4 linked regions of the Oryctolagus cuniculus genome follow. The protein of the gene in region 3 purifies or fractionates together with the protein of the main gene of each other region. This does not show direct contact. Links are inferred from orthologs where the notes say so. Each region holds a gene or a part of one and is shown on either strand. Other genes may lie near its edges.

Region 1 (4,597 bases), on a different chromosome or scaffold from region 3:
GGCAGGGACCAATTACTGAGAAGCACAACAGCCAGCCCTGATGAGCAAGCTGGGACATGGACAATGAAGACAGCAGCGCTCAGTTCCCGCTGCGGCACAGGTGACTCTGCGACTGCTCCATCAGGCAGCACCACAGGGAGGGCGAAGACACCAACTGCTCGGCTCAGGCGGTCGGGTCGCAGGGCCCTGGCCTTGTCCTACTAGGGCAGCTCTACTCAACAGTCTGACTGCTGAGGTTTCAAGATTTTGTTGACTGAAAAAACAGTAGGAATCCAGCAGAGACTTCCAAAGGTCATGCAGAGTTAGCCACCGTGGACACTCCTGCCCCCACTGCTCCATGCCAGCTCCACGCGCTGGCAGGGGACACACAGGCTGTGGGCAGGTTAGCGTGACGCCATGCAGACAGGGACCCCAACCGGCTTCTGCAGCTCTCAGAGTAAGCTCTTCTGTGAAGAGGGAAGGCCCTGGGCCTGAGGGACGCTCTGGTGGCATCGATAGACATTAGTTATCAGGAGAGGTCCTACCTTGCTAACCAGGGCAGGCGCAATAGTTTTATTGATGTGCTCAACAGCCTTTGAGACACCTGGAAGGAACAATCAAATCAATTACTGACATTAATTCAGAAAAGGAGGCTTGAGCAGCATTGCTGGAGATCTACTGAGGCTGCTGTCCCAGAAGCCCACCAGAGCCCTGCCACGGGACCACTGCTTCAAAACCCCACCCCCGCCCCTGGAGGCTGAGCGCTCTTACCGAGGACCCCCAGGGGTTAGAGCCACACACAGAGCCCCGCTCAATTCCCCAGCTGGAGGTTAGTCTGCAAGACCATGCACTGGGATACCAGCTGCACAGACTCCAGGACTTCCGGTTGTTACCTGAGTGCACAGGGCTGGTGCCAGGAACTCATTAATATACTTAACGGGTCTGGAGACGCCTGCCCAGTCCAGATGGACAGAGAAGGAAAAAGAGAGACTCAGAAGAGAACAGGCTGTGAGGCACACAGAGTGAGAAAAGGCGAGGAAACAGGAGGGTGGGAGGGTGCTGGAGGGGCCGCAGCGCCGGCCTGGGTGCATGCTGGCTCCCGCCCTCGAGGCACGGCACCGCCCTGCTCCAGCGAGAGCAAGGTCCCCGCGGGCCCGCCGTGCACAAGCAGGCGCCGCCCGGCCTCTCCCCGGCGGCTGTGTTGGCCCTGCCCGGCAGCCATTTTAGACTTTCTCCCTACTTGCCTGAAACTGACCACCACAGGCGTGCTGCACTGACGCACTGGGGGCTCTCTGGAGGCCCAGGAACCCCTCCCAGGGGGCTAACACCACCCGCTGTGGAACACACGTGAGACGGCCTCACGTGCTTCCTGTGAATGGGCCACACGGCGCCATCTCCAGAACCGCGGAAGCTACGTCAACACAGACAGTCAGCACCCGAGGGGGCCTGCCACTTGGCAGCCCCTCTGTCGACCCCCAGCACAAACCTACCTACTCCCGGCAGCAGGCCACGAGCTGCCCCTCCCTAGGCCCTGTGGAGGGGGATGGTGGGCCGGACCCAGAGGCCCTGCTGGGCAAAGGGGAAGACCCCTGGGCACGAGCTGGCCTTAGTTAACGGGACCACTTCTCACCCTGGGCCCAATCACAGGCTGGAGAAGGCCGCAACAGCAGTGACCACTGGAACTCCCGGCCCTGGGCTTACAGGCTTTGGAGCCTCGGGATCTGTGCCCGCCGGGCCTGCTTTCCACGTGCTGGGGCGCCGTGAGTGACGGTGGGTCTACCACTACCCTGCGCGAGGCCGCCCCCAGGAGTATGCGGGTCATGCGGAAGGCCAGGAGCGGGGCTGGAAGCAGAGGCTGGGTTGTGGGTCCAGGCCTTACCCTTCCCCATGTAGCGAGTCTTGTCATTGTCCCGCAGCTCCAAGGCTTCGTAGATTCCAGTTGAAGCACCACTGGGCACAGCAGCTCGGAAAAGACCTAGATGAGGGGAAAACAGGAACAATTAACAATGCGGCGATGGGGGCTGACGCTGTGGCGCTATGTGGCACCGGTACCCCCTAAGTGCCGGTTCCAGTCCACTCCCTGCTAATGCATCTGGGAAACAGCAGACAGTGTCCCAGTCCTCAGCCCCTGCCACCCACATGGCAAACCCCGACAGAGTTCCAGGCTCCCGGTTTCACACTGGTCCAGCCCCAGCCCTTGTGGCCATGCAGACGTGAGATATGAGATCTCTGTCTCTCCACCTTTCAAAAATCTTACAAAAGAAGACACAGTGAAAATGGCAGCCCAGATCCCCTCCCACACACAGATGTCTCTGCGCCAGGAAACAGTGTGGTAATGGTCACGTTTCCGCGATTCTGCAATGCAGATCCTCCCACCAACTGCGGAACTTCCCTAGCTCAAGTCTCAGGTGCACACGGGCCCCCGGGGACCTCGCTGACAGACAGTCTCACGGCGGGGCTGGGGAGCCTGCAGCTGGCCCGGCAGCAGTGCCGGCAGAAGCAGAACCCAAGTCAGGGAGGGGGCTGGCGGTGCCCTCGGAGCTGCGCTCAACTAGAAAGGCAAAGCGGGAACTTCGTCAGCTCGAGAGGAGCCGCTGGTCATTTGCCTCGGTTTAGACAGCGATGACCACTAGTCTGGGGTCTCCGCCCCCAGGCAAACTGGCTGAGGGGGAACAGGAATAAAGACAACGGGTGCAGTGTTCACATCACTAGGACACGATCCTGCATCCAGAAACCAGACCCGTGCTGCAGCCCCGACACGGCCACCGCTGGACAAAGCGCGAGGCGGGGCGTCAAGACCTCCAGTTTGGGGAGAGGGCAGGCAGCCTCGGGAACCCACCAGCAGCTCTAGGGAATTTTCCATCTGAAAGGAGCTGGGCAGGGATGTGGCGGCAATGCACAGAGGGGAAGAACGTCCTCCTCCCGCTCTGCTGCAGGCTGACTCACGGTGACTCAGCCCGGCGAGCGCGGCTCGGCTCAGTGACTGCCAGAAGCCGCTTTCCCAGCCTCGCCCCAGCCTGTTCATGAAACAGCCGGGGAACTAACTGCTGGAAGTAACCACGGCTGAAAAGGCAGATTTTCTTCTTAAAAAAAGGAGGGGAAAGCCCTCATTCTGTGGTTTTTCACAGGGCACACTGCAGAGCCTTATGGCCAGGAAACATCAGAGCCCCGGACTTCCCCAGAACCCCAGGTCATAGCCCTGAATTCAAGAGCGCTACACGGCCACTGGCTCGCGCTCCCTCATCTCCTGCCTCACCCAGGAAGGATCCAGCCACACCACATCTGCCAATTCAGGCGTGGGCACGCCTTATCTCAGCCCCTCCCCCACAGGGCACAGGTTTTGTTTTAAATGCCAAGAATTTGTGAGACAAAGGCTCTGTCCTACAATCTCTCCTCCACATCACCGCCAGCCAGAAATCACAGCCTGTCAGCATGTGCAGAGCAGAAAGAAAAGTGTCTACAGCAAGAATTTTTCATGCCTAATACAGCGTAACAGAGAGGGAGGGAGAGAGAATCCTCCATGTACTCATGTACTGCCCAAATGCTTGCAGCACCAGGCTGGGGCAGGCCAGAAACCCCACACAGATCTCCTGGTGGGCGGCAGGGAGTGGCGGAGGCACTTGAGCCGGGTGCTGCCTTTCCCAGGCACATCAGCGGGACCCGGCTCACCAGCGGAGCAGCCTGAGCTCCATCGGGTAATCCAGCCGGGAGCGGCCATGGCAAGAGGAAGCTTAACCTGCTGCTCCACAGTGTCCATCCTCCGTCACTTTTAAACAAGTTTTTGTCTTATTTTTAAAGGTTCATTTAGTTATTTGAAAGGCAAAGAGATGGAGAGAGATCTTCTACCTGCTGGTTCATTCCCCAAATGACTGCAACAGCTAGGTCTGGTCTGGGTCGAAGCCAGGAGCCCGGAACTCCAACCAGGTCTCCTCGTGGGTGGCAGTAACCCATGCACTTTGGGGCCATCTTCCACTGCTTTCCCAGGTGCACTAGCAGGAAGCTGGACTGGAATTAGGCAACTGCCATGCTGGCACCCCACCCATGATTTGTGAGCAAATCTTCAAAATGGAGTGTGGAAACTGAGGCGGCACGTACCTTTGGAGGTGTAGAGATCAACCTCGACGGTGGGATTCCCGCGAGAGTCAAAGATCTCTCTGGCATGGACCTTGAGCACAGACATGGTGAATTTCTGCGGGGAAACACAGTTTTTATTTCCCATAAACCACTACACAGCATTTGCTCATTCACTCGAGGGTTCCTGGACCAGGCGGAATCTGCACTGGCCTGAATGCTGGCTGCAGGAAGGCAGCTTAGGGGCGGGAGGCCGGAGGCATCGCTCCATCCAACCCGGACTGGGCCCCGTCCTGGAGGCCTTCACTTCTATGGTTGAAGTCTTGCCTATGAGCAAAAGCCTGACAACGTGTGCCCCTCGGGGAAATCTGATCCAACTGGAGAATTAACACGTTGACGGCACGTACGGCCTGGAGTTGGAGGGCTGGCATGGAGTGAGGAGCACCAAGAGCAGGCAGGCCACAGGCAAACCATCTAGAACAAGGCCAAAGCGGGAGGCGAGGCGGTCTGGCTTCCAGCACAATGGGGCCCGATTCATCAAATGAGA
Region 2 (4,281 bases), on a different chromosome or scaffold from region 3:
CACATGGGTGCAGGGGCCCAAGCACTTGCATCTTCCACAGCTTTCCCAGGCTTTTTAGAAGGGAGCTGAATCAGAAGTGGAGCAGCCAGGATTTGAACCAGCACCCATATGGGACACTGGCACTGTAGTATCTGTTATGCCACAGCACCAGCTCCCTTCTGTCTCGTTTGTCTTTTAAGATTCATTCATTTGTTCAGTTAAAAGGCAGAGAGAGGGAGGGAGGAAGGGAGGGAGGGAGAGAGAGACAGAGATCTTCCACCCACTGGTTCACCCCCCCCCCCAAATGGCCACAATGGCTGTCTGGACCAGGTAGAAGCCAGGAGCCTGGAGCTCCATCCATGTCTCCCACATGAGTGTAGGGACCCAGGGACTTGGGCCATCCTCCATGGCTTTCCCAGGCGCATTAGCAGGAAGCTGGATCAGAAGCAGAGCAGCCAGGACTCGAACCCAGCATCCCAGTAGCCACAGTTTAACCTGCTCGCGCTGCAACACCAGCTGAGCCTGCCCCCCACCCCGCCCCCAGGTGAGCGTCGCTGTGGGCTGTGCCACGCGCAACAGGACGGTACCCTTCTGTAGCTCTTTCGCCGCCTTCTTCACACGGGCCTTTGACCAGATCCGCATGGCGGCCATCTCCGAGAGCAACATCAACGTGTGCGGCTCCCACTGCGGAGTGTCCATCGGTGAGTCCAGCCAGGATGCCCGTACCTGGAGCCTCCTGAACCTCTTGGAGCAGGTCAAGGAGTGGGGGCGGGGATGCCCGGTCATGGATGGGGATCTTACTCAGCGTTTTCTTTCCCACACCACAGGGGAAGATGGGCCCTCTCAGATGGCCCTAGAAGACTTGGCCATGTTCCGCTCCATCCCCATGTCAACTGTCTTTTACCCGAGTGACGCAGTCGCTACAGAGAAGGCAGTGGAATTAGCAGCCAATACAAAGGTGGGTACCACAGCTAGCTCTTTCCTGGAGGGGCACAGAGCTGTTTCCTGGCCTTGCCCCGGGTGTCTGTGTAGTTTGTGGAAGTTGGACAAGGAGAAATGAAACACACAGCGCCCTTGCTGCATCATGGCAGACATTACCAGTCGATGACTGCACTCTTTTCCCCCTGAGAGTCCTGGCCACCTCTCCCTGTCTGGTGGTTCACACCTGTTTGCCCCGACTTGAACTGGTGTCCGTGAGCCAAGCCCTGCAGTCCATGTCCAGAGCCCTGCTCATGGGTGGTTCCCGTTCCCCTGCCTGGAGCAGGGGGGCCTGCCCGGGGGATGCACTGTGGAGGAGCCTCACCGGGTGGGCCATCTCCCTGGTGGAAAGTTGTTTGGGGTCTGTGGCCGGCAGCATCCGTGGGCAGCTCTTGGGAGGAGTGAGGTGCAGGCTGCAGTAGCCAGGCTGCAGGGACTGACGGAGGCCCTGGGCAATGACAGGCTGGATGGATTTGCAGCAGGAGAGGCCGAGCTCTCCGGAAGAGATGGTGCCCCGGGAGCAGGGTGCTGTGTTCTCCCATGTTCTCAGCTTCTCTGTTCCCGTCCCAGGGCATCTGCTTCATCCGGACCAGCCGCCCGGAAAACGCCATCATCTACAACAACAGTGAGGATTTCCAGGTTGGACAAGGCAAGGTCAGTGCCGCTCCTGCCCCAGCGAGCCCACCTTCCAGAGCCAAACCCTCCCTGCCCCACCCTGCACAGCCTGCAGTTTCTGATCCTCGCCGGTCCCCCGCTGTCTCCCCTAGGTGGTCCTGAAGAGCAAGGATGACCAGGTGACCGTGGTCGGGGCTGGGGTGACCCTGCACGAGGCCTTGGCTGCCGCCGAGCTGCTAAAGAAAGGTGAGGAGAAGGGAGCTGCCCAGCCGTGGGCTGAGGGCTGCCTGCGCGCTGGGTCCTGGGGCGAGAGGATCTGTGCAGTTTAACAGTGGCAACACTCACACCAGCCACCTCCAGAGCGCTTAGCCTGTGCCTAGCCTGAAGCTGGGTCCTTGGGCTGCAGGGGCCATGATCCCTGCCCTAAGACCCCCAGGTTGAGATGGCCCGGCATGGTGGTCAGGTCAGAGGCAGCTGGGATCACAGCTGGTTATTCCCTAATACCGTGCCTCAGTTTACCCACCTGTAAACAGTCAACCCTCTGTATCCTTGGGCGAATGGTCTCCAGATCCCCGTACAGATGCCCAAATCCAGCTCTGCTCGAGTCCCTTCTGTAAAATGGCTCTGCATTTCTGGACAGTCCCCAGCCGCAGAGCTGGCCAAGACTGCCTGGGCAAGGGAGCACCAGCCCCTCGGGTCAGGGAAGGCTCCTGGAGGAGGCAGGTGGGTGCCAAGGGCTGGAGGACAGCGGCCGGCCCATCTGGCGTTAGCACAAGCTCCACGGTGGGCAGAGCTGGCTCTCCCCAGGACAGGGATGGGCTGGAGCTCTCAGAACACCCCCACCAGGCCCCACCAAGGGCAGACCCAGGCACCCAGTGCTCCCCTGAGCCCCACCCCTGCCCCTCCTCCCCTACAGAGAGGATCAGCATCCGCGTGGTGGACCCCTTCACCATCAAGCCCCTGGACAGGAAGCTCATCCTGGACAGTGCCCGTGCCACCAAGGGCAGAATCCTCACCGTGGAGGACCACTATTATGAAGGTAGGTGGCCCGGGGTGGGGGGTGGGGGGGCGGGGATAGGGGTAGGGGCCAGGAAGGCCAAGGGCTGGGCACACTCAGACCTCCTGTGTCTGCTGAGCCCCTGCTGCCCAGGAAGCCCACAAGGATTCCAACCTCGGTGGGTAGAAAGAAGGCAGATTATGTCCTGAAGTAGTGGAAGGGTGTGGCTGTGGTGCAGAGTGCAACAGGGAAAGTAGTGCTGAGTCTCTGGCTTTCACCACGCAGCCTCTGCACCTGTACCTCCTGCAAGGAGGCCCCGGGGAGATGAGGCATAGACTCAGGTCAGGTGCACGTTTGTTGATGATGGCTGCCCAGGGGGTGGTGTTTTTAAATATCATCAGTGCTGTGATTGATGAGTGATGTCTGCCCTGGCTACAGTAGAGAAAAGTGGTGCATTTTCAACCTGTGCCCCTGTGGCCAAGGAAGTAAACGCAAGACTGACGGGCTGGGGCCCAGCCTCTGCTCGCCCTGAGACCTCGTTCATCTGACCAGTCTCCTTTCCTCTGCCCAGGTGGCATAGGGGAGGCGGTGTCCACTGCAGTAGTAGGCGAGCCTGGTGTCACTGTCGCCCGCCTGGCTGTGGGCCAGGTGCCAAGAAGCGGGAAGCCGGCCGAGCTGCTGAGGATGTTCGGCATCGACAAGGACGCCATCGCGCAAGCTGTGAGGGGCCTGGTGGCCAAGGCCTAGGGGAGGCCCGGTGCAGGGCGGGGTCCCGCACAGGCCTGAGGGCTCGGCAACGTGTGAACCGAGTGGGAATATATGTTTTGAGAAAAATGAATCGGCCCTGAGGTGTTTTGTGGGACGTGCACGCTGCGGTGCTGGCAGGGCCAGGACCTGGTGTCCACCGCCCTTTGGAGTCCTCGGCCCTGGCCCAGCGTCTTCCCCAACGGCCAGAGTCCCTCCAGGTAACACGGCCCTGCCCGTGCCTTCTAGTGAGGCTCACACATCCCTGCCCGCGTCCGGTCAGCCAGGCCCCGAGGGAGGCTGGGAGTTGCCTCACGGCCTGGCACTCGTCCAGGCCTCCTCAGGGCATCCTGCCCTCCCCCGGGTCCCCACAGGTCTCCTGGCATCAGGAGGTGCCTTTGTTCACTGTCCCCCAACCTCCGTTTCCCACGCCCTGTGAACCCGTCCATCACCTTGGCGGCCCTCCTCCTGCCTTTTGTGCCAGAGCTGCAGGGGCCAGCTCCACCAGTAGAGGTCCTCGCTCCCTGGCGTGCACCACTGTCCCCTGCCCCAGAAGCTGCTGGTATCACACTTGGAGAGCAGAGCCATGCTGGCCCATGCACCAGCTCAGCTGCTTCCCAGGCAGGATCCCTTGCTCGGGTGACCATAGCCTGTTTGTCCCCTGCTGCTTGTAAGGCTATCTGCATAGAACCCTGTACTGGCCAAAGAAGTGGGTGCCGCCAGCAACTGGTAGGGTTCTCCAGAAACCCTTGGAGTCCTTGGGGAGGGTGAGACACATCTGTAGACCTGTGCACGTTTCCTCCCGGCCATCTGGACAGAATGAGCCCAACAGACCCAGCAAAGTGCAGCCCACTTAGCTTCTGCACCCAGTGGGCTTTGCCAGGCGCTGTGTGCCTGCATTTGACCCAACACGAATTCCAGAGGGAGCAGGCGGGTCTCAGGTGGCCTAGGCTGCTGGGGTCTGTTGT
Region 3 (5,205 bases):
AAGGAGGAGAAAGAGAAATAGAGATCTTCTAGCTGCTGGTTCACTCCCTAAATGGCTGCAGTGGCCGAGGCTGAACCAGACAGAAGCCAGGAGCGAAGAACTCCATCCGGGTCTCCCGCGTTGCTGGCAGGAGCCCAGGTAATGGGGCCCTCCTCTGCTGCTTTCCCAGACACATTAGCAGGGAGCTGGACACAAAGTACAGCAGCCTGGACTCTAACAAGCGCTCAGATAGAGCATGCTGGCGTGGTAGGCTGCGGCCTAACCTGCTGTCCCACAACACTGGTCTCCTCTCCTCGCTTCATGCTTCTGGAACACTTTGCATGAAAAGCGTATGTACTATTTACCTCTCCTACTGAATGCAGGCGCTGTTAGGTCATTTAATCATCTACCCTTTGCCTGTGTGATGTGGCCTTAGCCAGATGGAAGGAAACAGGGGAGCTATGTGGAAGCCAAACAGATGTCATTTTGTTGTCTTTAAGGTTGTGTGGTCCTGCCATCATGGCAACTAAGAATGCAGAATTCTAACCATGCCAGAGGCACTATGAACCAGGTCAGGCTGTACTGACCACGACAAAACCACAAACAAGGGGGCGCCGGCTCAAGTCCAGGCTGCTTCCCTTCTACCCAGCTCCCTGCTAACGCACTGGGGAAGTGCAGAGGAGGGCCCAGGGGCTTGGGACCCTGCCACCCATGAGGGAGACCCCGACGGAGTCCCTGGGTGGTTACCTGGGTGGTGAGCCAGCAGATCACTCATTCTTCCAAATAAATAAGTATACCTTAAAAAAAAAAACAACAACAACTAAAAACAGACAAAAACCAGAAACTACAGGGGCCAGCGCTGTGGCACAGTGGGTTAAAGCCCCAGCCTGCAAGGCCGCCATCTCTTAGGTGCCGGTTCCAGTCCCGGCTGCTCCACTTCTGATCCAGCTCTCTGCTATGGCCTGGGAAAGCAGTGGAAGATGGCTCATGGCCTTGGGCCCCTGCACCCGCATGGGAGACCCTGAGGAAACTCCTGGCTCCTGGCTTCAGATCAGCCCAGCTCTGGCCATTACGGTCATTTGGGGAGTGAACCAGCGGATGGAAGACGTCGCTCTCGCTCGCTCTCTCTCTGGCTCTACCTCTCTCTAACCCTGTCTTTCAAATAAATAAATCTTAAAAAGAAAAAAAAACCCAAGATTTTAAAAAAAAGGAAACTACAGAAAGCATCCACTTAAGTTAATCCAATTTCCTTTTTTTTTCTTTTTTTGATTTATGTATTTGAAAGTCATGCGTAAGAGAAAGGGAGAGACACAGAATTCTCCCATCCGCTGGTTCACTCCCCCAGATGGCCGCCATGGCCAGTACTGGGCCAGGCCGCAGCCAGGGGCCAGGAGCTTCTTCCGGGTCTCCCACAGGGGTGCAGGGGCCCAGGCACTGGGGCCACCCTCTGCTGCTTTTCCCAGCCGCATCAGCAGGGAGCTGGATCGGAAGCGGAGCAGCAGGGGCGCCGCAGGCCACAGCTTAACCTGCTACGCCACAGCGCCAGCCGCTGTTGCTAACGTCTCTAGACGGAGCGACTTCAGACCTTCTCGGCATAACACGTACTCCTCGGTCTCCCGGTTCGGGCCACCGCCACCGTCGGCCACACCACTCGGGTCCGAGAGCCGGGTTCCCCCTCAGGGTCCCGGCGGCTTCCTCACGCGCGGCCTCGCCCCGCCCCCGGTCATCCCAGGCCACTCGCGCCCCGAGGCCGCCGTAGAGGGGGCGGGCTGAGCGCGCGGGCGGCGATTGGTTCAGGGCCAGGGTGGGCGGGGCGCAGCGCGGCGGCCTATAAAGCAGCCGGGGGCGCGTCGGGCTCGGTTTGCGTCGGCGCGTCCTGCAGCGTCTCCCGCCGCCCTCGCTGCCCGCACCGGAGCGCGCCGCTCGGGAGTCATGGCGACGAAGGCTGTGTGCGTGCTGAAGGGCGACGGCCCGGTCGAGGGCACCATCCACTTCGAGCAGAAGGCAAGGGCTGGCAGGAAGCGCCGGGGACAGGGCCGCCGGCCGGGCCGGGGCTGGGGTCGCCACACCGCCGCCGCCGCGCCGGGCCGGGGTCCGCGCCACCGGGCTCCTCCGCCTCCTGGCCGCGCGGCGCCCCGCACCGCCGCCCGCGCGCACCCGCCCGCCAACTGCTGAGTCACCGGGCGGGCCCCGGCGGCGGCGGCGGCGGCGGCGGGGCCGGGCCGGGCCTGGGCGGGGGTGCGGGACTGGAACGCCCGGGCCTGGCGCGCGGGCTCCGACCGCCGCGGGGTCTGTGAGGGCGAGGTGGAGACCCGCGCGGGGCCCTGCGTTTGCCGCCCGGGGGTCCGTGGGCTCCCCCCCCCCGCCGCCACCCCGAGATCCAGGCGTGGCGCGTGCGGCCGGGCCCGCGTGGGTGTCGCCGCGTCCGTTACCCGCTTGGGGCTGCTTCTCTGGCTCCCGCGCTCTAGGTCCGGGGTCTGCGGTTGCGGCCCGCGGCGTCCCCTCAGTCCCAGGGTCATTGTCCCAGCTCTACAGGTTTAACTGGTCGAACACGCCGCAGCGGCCCAGCGTGACTTTATTTTCGGCAGCGTGTTGGCGCCTGAGAGCCAGGTCGTGGTCAGGCGGCGAAGGCAAAGAGGATGGCCTTGGAAAACGATTTTTTTTTTTTTTTTTTTTTTTTTTGCCTTCAAAACTGCAAAAGCCGGACATCTGACTTGGGAATTTTCCAGAGCGCAGATTCTCACAAACAAACAAAAAACCCAGATACCAGGGCTCGGCCCCAGACCAATTTTGTCTTAATTTGCTCTGGTGCGCTCTGAGTGTTACTATTTTGAATTTCCAGGGTGATTTTACCGTGCACCTAAGATGGAGAATTAACACTCCGGAGGCCGGGGGATTTGGAAGTTGCAGAAACCTGGAGCTTATACCTTAGTCAGACTGGCTCTTACCTGTTTTTGGAGCACTCCTTTGGCCAAATTCTCTGCAGAGTGGCTTTGACATTGAGGTTGCTCAGTGGGTCCAAGAACAAATCGTGGGAAATAAAGACTCTACAGCAATTTTTGCAGAGATACTCGTTATCAGAAACTCCACAAGGAAGGTGCTTGTGATAAGATTGTCCCCGCAAGCTCAAGTTGTGGGAAACTCCTGCACTGAGCCTAGGCATTGAGAGAGAGAGAGTAAGGGATGAGTGTGGGTTCAAGTGCCTGTGTTTTCATGAACTGGCTTCACACCGAGGAAGGGGGTCTGGCCCGAGTGCGTCTGGCTGCGTTTCACTTGCCTGGCTTTGTTTGGGTCTGCAGGGAAGTCACAGGTGTGGAGAGCCTCCGATCCCTCGCAGCAGGAAGGGGCCCTGGGGGTGGGCCTGGGAGCTTGTCAGTCTTGCACCTTCCCCCAGTGTCTGGCACGGTTCCTGGTTTCAGCTCCAGACTTCACTTGGGTGCTGCCCTTTGCACTTGATAAAGCCCCCTGGAGAGTTTGGTCTTCCAGCACTACAGATAGGCAGAAGTAATCAGTTGGCTATAAACTGTATTTGGTTTGGCCTATTCAGTGTTGAAGGTTAGTTGCCAACATTTAAAAATCGCGGTGGGTTGGTCGGTCAGTCCTGGTTCCTAGCTCCTGAAACGGTTGGGTGTGTGCTCCTCCGTGCCTGTCTTCGCCGAGGACTGCACTGCTGGACCGTTTGTGTTCCTGTCTGCCTCCCAGCCCCTCTCTCTTCCTCGCTTAGGGCGGCAGCCTGCGCCCTGTAGGATTGTAACCCCGCGGCTCTGGATCGACTTCGTGTGCCGCCTGCCTTGCGTGTGCAGAGCGGTCTGGAAGAATCTGCCCTTGTCTGCCTGCTACTGTTCAAAGTGCGGCCACAGCCAGAGGTGGTCCTGGGGAGAAGTGCAGCTGCTGTTCCCCCAAGGGAAAACAAAGGGGAGCAGTCTTCCGGACAGACACTTTGAGCCAGGGTCTCTTCTGAGCTCAAGGCCTCGTGCCTCGTCTTACTGTCGACTTGGAAAGCAAACCAAGCTAAAAACAAGGAGAGCCGTGTGTGTGTGTGTGTGTGTGTGTGTGTGTGAGTGAGTGATGGTGTGGAGCTGGTGCTGTGCGTGTGTATAGTCCCCGAGATCTTTGGGCAACGAGTGGTAACAGCAGCTTCCCTGGTTTTCTGTGTCTGGCCACGCAGCACCGTGGCCTGCATGGAGATCTTGCTGCAGGTTTCCCACCTGCCTTAGCGTGTCGTCACTCTCTCCTGTGTTGGAGTTTTTAAATCTAGGCTCCATTGCCTAAAAATACTTAAAACAGTCTCTCTGGTTAGACTAGACCTGGTCTCTCTGGGGACTGTGGGATAGGGTATTTTCTGGCTGCCAATCACAAATGACTGTGATGGAAATTGACAATACCCACCAAGTGAGAGTGGAGAACGGGTCCCAGGGCAGCCAGCTGGACCTTTGCTGGGTCCTTTTTTCTTTCTCAAAGGCATGTTTGTATGCAGTGTTTGCTGTGTGGAAAGAGCGTGTCCATGAAGAAAGCCAGGAGTTGAGCGTATGGTGACATAGACTCTTTGGACTGAAAAGTCTGATGGGTACACGTAGACTCATCACACGCACACACAGCCTACCCAGAGGTATCTTGTAAATGAGCGCGTGCCCATCGGGAGGGGCCCTGCAGAGCACTCGGTCCCAGTGTAAGTCTGACCTTGGGGTGCGTTCTGCTGGGAGCTTCGTATCTGCTGTATCATGCCGACCTGGCCACAGGACTCCGGGGCAGTCAGTGTTAGTGAGAACGCACTGCGTGCTGCAGGTAAGCAACCTGCTGGAGGCCCACAGGCTACAAAGTGGTGGGCCACAGAGAGGACACAGACTTCTCCCTTGCTGTGACTGGGAACGTGGATCGGCCGTGTGCTCTGTGGAGAAGCAGCTGCTTTCTCTGACTTGCCACACTTTGTTTTTGAATAAAGGGAACAGGGCCCGTGGTGGTCAAGGGACGCATAACAGGACTGACCGAAGGCCTGCACGGATTCCATGTCCACCAGTTTGGAGATAATACACAAGGTGAGTGTGCTGCTCTGGTGACCCAGCCAGCTAAGGTACAAGGATGCAGTAGAGTCAGCCTGAGCAGTAAGAACTTGAACAAGTTTATTTTTTTTAAATGCTGCTAAAGTCAGCTTTAAGGAGATCAGCTCCCAAGCTGTTCTTTGACTCCTGGAGTACAGAAAGGAAGGGGAAGGAGTTGTGTTTTATT
Region 4 (4,597 bases), on a different chromosome or scaffold from region 3:
TTGAAATTGAATCCAAGATAGTCATAGTTTTATATGTTTTTTTTAGTCTATGACTTAGCTTTTTAGATCCACAAAACTGTTATGTCTTTGTTGTGTTATAAATGCTACTATAATTGTTATTATAAATGTTATGCCAGCATACATGTAAATAAACTCTATGGACACTACAAGTAAAATTTAAAAAACAATTTAGAAGACCTAAATAACTCCCAAATAACTTACAGCTAAGATATATTTATCAAGGGGACCAGTTATATTATTTGCTTTAAACAGAATTTGGAAATATGTATTTGTCCTCTTTTAAAAAGTTACACTAAGCAGGGAATTTTAGAGAGGCGGGCTCTTGGCTACAAGACTGATGGTCTTGGTGGGAGGTGCCCAAGAAGACTGCCTTGTAGAGCAGCTGGGCTGGGGGCGATCCATAGAGGGACCTCGTTTAATTCCATTACACGGAGTAAGTGGCATCCAGAGAAGCTCTGTGCTTTGTCTATAGTTGCAGTTAGGAAGGGTCCCAATCAAGACTCTACATTCTGTACTCTGGTTACAATTCCAAACTTTCCCCACTATTATAGTTCAGGCTGAAATGTTAAGAGCACATGCTTTTGTTTTACTTTCATTATGGAAATTTTCAAGTGCAGATGGAAATGTTTCATGAATTTCCATGTTCTCATCACTCAGCTCTAGTAGTTCGCACATGGCCAATCTCAGGCTGTCCTGCAGATATCCTCTGCCCCCCATGTTGTCAGTCAACCCCAAACATTTTATTTCATTGATAATTTTTTTTTAAATAACCACAATACATTACTGGAACTGAAAAATTAACAGCAATTTAGATAACCAGTTAGTATTCAGTTTTTGCTTTATTAAACATTTTATTATAATTGAGATGCAAATAAGCCCCACACCTTGTGGTCTGTTAATATGTCTACTGTCTTTTTATTGTTAGATTCCCACTTCCTACCTCAGTCTCCCTTTTGCCTTGTAATTTGTTGTTGTTGAAGAAAATGAGTCAGTTTTCCATGGTCTGGGTTCTGTGTCTCCATAGTGTCAATTAACATGTCCCCTGTATTTACTGTAAACTGAAAGATGGGGTATTGATTAGATACAGATTTGATCTGGAGGGCTGTGGGACAAGATTACTTTTTAGAAGTTGAGCAGGTATAGTTGATACTTTGAGAAGCCTGCTAAACAATATCTTTAATAGACTTATCTTTAATTACAATTAATATTGAACTTTTAATTTTTCCAGTGAAGGGAATGAGGCAATCTTTAAAAACCATCAAGTTAGGCCGGCGCCGCGGCTCACTAGGCTAATCCTCTGCCTGTGGTGCCGGCACCCTAGTCCAGGTTGGGGTGCCAGATTCTGTCCCAGTTGCTCCTTTTTTAGTCCAGCTCTTTGCTGTGGCCTGGGAGTGTAGTGGAGGATGGCCCAGGTCCTTGGTCCCTGCACCCACATGGGAGACCAGGAGGAAGCACCTGGCTCCTGGCTTCAGATTGGTGCAGTGCACTGGCCACAACACGCCGGCTGTAGTGGCCACTTGAGGGGTGAACCAACGGAAAAAGGAAGACCTTTCTCTCTGTCTTGAACTGTTTATAAGAGAATTATTAAAGCTGGCAACACTTACAGTGACTTTGAAAGACTACAGCTATGCTTTGTAATAATGTATGGATTTTGATTCTAAAATTGATGAGCTGTTGATTCAGCTGTTTCACTTTGGGGGCCAGCATTTCATTTCTGCTTTGTTGTATGGTCACATGAAACTGAAACATTATAGCAGATGTTCTTGAAGCAGGAGACACTAGTGCAGACAGAGATTTCTATCAGTAAATCTGGGATTAACCCAAAGTGTACAGAGAATTTATTGATGACATATAGTAAACACATGATTTGACAGAAGTCCTTCAGTGGTTATCATCCTTTGGGTATGTGTGGTTTAGTAGAAAATTTCTCTCTTTTCTGTATATTTCCTATTCCTGAAGCTATGGTGATATGTTATTTTTAAATGTGTCATTCAATATCACATACACTCTGATGGTGAAAACCATAACTATCAAATATAAACAGGCTTGTTAAGAACCAACCACTTTGTTCATTTTAACCTGAATAAATGTGGCTGTTATAGGGAAGCTATTCTTTTTCTCATGTCTATACACCGAATGACGTACGTATGGTGATTGAATATGCCCGAATGCGAGGGATTCGAGTCATACCAGAATTTGATACTCCTGGACATACACAGTCTTGGGGCAAAGGTAAGGAGTTTGAGGTCTTACATCTCTCATATTATGACTTGGTTTTTGCTCATTTTGTTCTTGTGGTTTATCTAATTCTAGCACTGTTGACACATATGATTAACATTATGTCTGTAAGCAAGTCACTGTTTCTAGGTATCACCTAAGTATAAAAACCAGAGAGAGGCTGGTGCTGCGGCTCACTAGGCTAATCCTCTGCCTGTGGTGTCAGCACCGCGGGTTCTAGCCCCGGTCGGGGCGCCGGATTCTGTCCCGGTTGCTCCTCTTCCAGGCCAGCTCTCTGCTGTGGCCAGGGAGGGCAGTGGGGGATGGCCCAAGTCCTTGGGCCTTACACCCACATGGGAGACCAGGAGAAGCACCTGGCTCCTGGCTTCAGATTGGCGCAGTGTACCGACCATGACATTCATTTTGGGGGTGAACCAACGGTAGAAAGACCTTTCTCTCTCACTGTCTAACTCTGCCTGTCCAAAACAACAACAACAACAACTATAAGGAGAAAGGAATATATAAAAAAATGATTATAAAAAGTAGAACACAGTAAGTGAATTCAAGAAATAGTTTCAAGAGAGGCTGGCGTTGTGGCATAGTGGGTCAAGCCACTGCCTGTGATGCTGGCATCCCATATGGGCACCAGTTCGTGTCCCGGATGCTCTATTTCTGATCTAGCTCCCTGCTAATGGCCTGGGAAAAGCAGCGGAAGGTGGTCCAAGTGTTTGGGCCGGCCCCTGCCACCCATGTGGGAAATGTGGATGAAGCTCCTGTCTTAGCCCTGGTTCAGACCTGGCCATTGCAGCCATCTGGGGAGTGAATCCATGGTTGGAAGATCACCCCCTCTCTCTGTGACTCTCTTTCAAATAAATTGTTAAACACGAAAAAGAAAAAACGTATGAATGAGGAAACACTTAAAAAGCTTCTGAGGCCGGCGCCGCGGCTCACTAGGCTAATCCTCCGCCTAGCGGCGCCGGCACACCGGGTTCTAGTCCCGGTCGGGGCGCCGGATTCTGTCCCGGTTGCCCCTCTTCCAGGCCAGCCCTCTGCTGTGGCCAGGGAGTGCAGTGGAGGATGGCCCAGGTGCTTGGGCCCTGCACCCCATGGGAGACCAGGAAAAGCACCTGGCTCCTGGCTCCTGCCATCGGATCAGCGCGGTGCGCCGGCCGCAGCGCGCCGGCCGCGCTGGCCATTGGAGGGTGAACCAACGGCAAAGGAAGACCTTTCTCTCTGTCTCTCTCTCTCTCACTGTCCACTCTGCCTGTCCAAAAAAAAAAGCTTCTGAGACTTCAAAGAATATATTCATGTTTCTGGTAGAGGGAACGGCATGGGGAAAGGCAATGCAAAAAGGGTAAGACATGTCTGACAGTATTTAGTTTTTCTAGGATCTGGCAAAGAGTAACAGACATGACAGGGTGGTGATTGGAATGTTGGCTCCGGAGCCAGACTACTTGGGGTTGAATCCTGCTTCTGCCATTCATAAATTGAGTGACTTTGGATAAGTTATGAAATATCTCTTCTTCAGGTTCCACATCCCTAAAATGAGACTTTTATTTTTTTTTAAATTTTTTGACAAGCAGAGTTAGACAGTGAGAGAGACAGAGAGAGTGGTCTTCCTTCCATTGGTTCACCCCCCAAATGGCTGCTATGGCTGGCATCCGAAGCCAGGAGCCAGGTGCTTCTCCTGGTCTCCCATGCGGGTGCAGGGCCCAAGCACTTGGGCCATCCTCCACTGCACTCCTGGGCCACAGCAAAGAGCTGAACTGGAAGAGGAGCAATCAGGACAGAATCCGGCGCCCCAACCGGGACTAGAACCCAGGGTGCTGGCGCCGCAGGCAGAGGATTAGCCTAGTGAGCCGTGACACTGGCCTAAAATGGGACTTTTAAATAACATATACCTTTATTTTATATTGTTACAACTCAGTAGGAAAATTTCATAAATGATTTCACATTTAAAAATCTAATTGTACATATTTGTGGGGTATAGTGTGATAATTTGATATATACTCAATGTGTAATGAACCGATGAGGTTAGTTAGCATTTCCATCTCCTGAAACCTTAAAAAATTTTACTAATAGGGCTGGTGTTTGACCTAAGTGGTTAAGATACTGATTAAGATGCCTGCACCCAATATTGGAGTGCCCCAGCTCTAGGGACAAGCACTTGGCATAGTGGTGAGGTCTCTGCTTGCCATTCCTGTATGCTGTATCAGAGTGCCTGTTTCAAGTCCAGGCTCCTCCACTTTGGAAGCAGCTTCCTGCCAGTTCAAACAATGAGAGAGAGAAGGTGATGGCTCAAGTACTTGGGACTGAGCTCCCCAGGTAGGAGACCCAGATTGAGTTCCAGCCTTTTGGT

Evidence for each region. Proteins that work in one complex are often made in the same cells at the same time.
Region 1: the proteins of SOD1 (region 3) and ENO1 fractionate together in Homo sapiens (co-fractionation; 3 studies listed by BioGRID, with this or other methods). This does not show direct contact. The link is inferred for Oryctolagus cuniculus from reciprocal best matches to the Homo sapiens genes SOD1 and ENO1.
Region 2: the proteins of SOD1 (region 3) and TKT purify together in Homo sapiens (affinity purification with mass spectrometry; 3 studies listed by BioGRID, with this or other methods). This does not show direct contact. The link is inferred for Oryctolagus cuniculus from reciprocal best matches to the Homo sapiens genes SOD1 and TKT.
Region 4: the proteins of SOD1 (region 3) and HEXB purify together in Homo sapiens (affinity purification with mass spectrometry; 3 studies listed by BioGRID and IntAct, with this or other methods). This does not show direct contact. The link is inferred for Oryctolagus cuniculus from reciprocal best matches to the Homo sapiens genes SOD1 and HEXB.

What each region holds. Positions count from the first base shown.
Region 1 is NC_091438.1:158,991,332-158,995,928, reverse strand, and holds part of ENO1 (alpha-enolase), read right to left. Parts: intron 4,169-4,597; 5' UTR 4,160-4,168; coding exon 4,075-4,159; intron 1,955-4,074; coding exon 1,859-1,954; intron 932-1,858; coding exon 873-931; intron 584-872; coding exon of another isoform or gene 525-583; intron 1-524. UniProt on the Homo sapiens protein: Glycolytic enzyme the catalyzes the conversion of 2-phosphoglycerate to phosphoenolpyruvate. In addition to glycolysis, involved in various processes such as growth control, hypoxia tolerance and allergic responses.
Region 2 is NC_091441.1:96,586,535-96,590,815, forward strand, and holds the end of TKT (transketolase), read left to right. Parts: intron 1-523; coding exon 524-680; intron 681-806; coding exon 807-937; intron 938-1,527; coding exon 1,528-1,611; intron 1,612-1,724; coding exon 1,725-1,818; intron 1,819-2,488; coding exon 2,489-2,611; intron 2,612-3,140; coding exon 3,141-3,316; 3' UTR 3,317-3,407; downstream 3,408-4,281. UniProt on the Homo sapiens protein: Catalyzes the transfer of a two-carbon ketol group from a ketose donor to an aldose acceptor, via a covalent intermediate with the cofactor thiamine pyrophosphate.
Region 3 is NC_091435.1:13,159,321-13,164,525, reverse strand, and holds the start of SOD1 (superoxide dismutase [Cu-Zn]), read left to right. Parts: upstream 1-1,771; 5' UTR 1,772-1,911; coding exon 1,912-1,983; intron 1,984-4,921; coding exon 4,922-5,015; intron 5,016-5,205. UniProt on the Homo sapiens protein: Destroys radicals which are normally produced within the cells and which are toxic to biological systems.
Region 4 is NC_091445.1:36,201,425-36,206,021, reverse strand, and holds part of HEXB (beta-hexosaminidase subunit beta), read left to right. Parts: intron 1-2,123; coding exon 2,124-2,253; intron 2,254-4,597. UniProt on the Homo sapiens protein: Hydrolyzes the non-reducing end N-acetyl-D-hexosamine and/or sulfated N-acetyl-D-hexosamine of glycoconjugates, such as the oligosaccharide moieties from proteins and neutral glycolipids, or from certain mucopolysaccharides.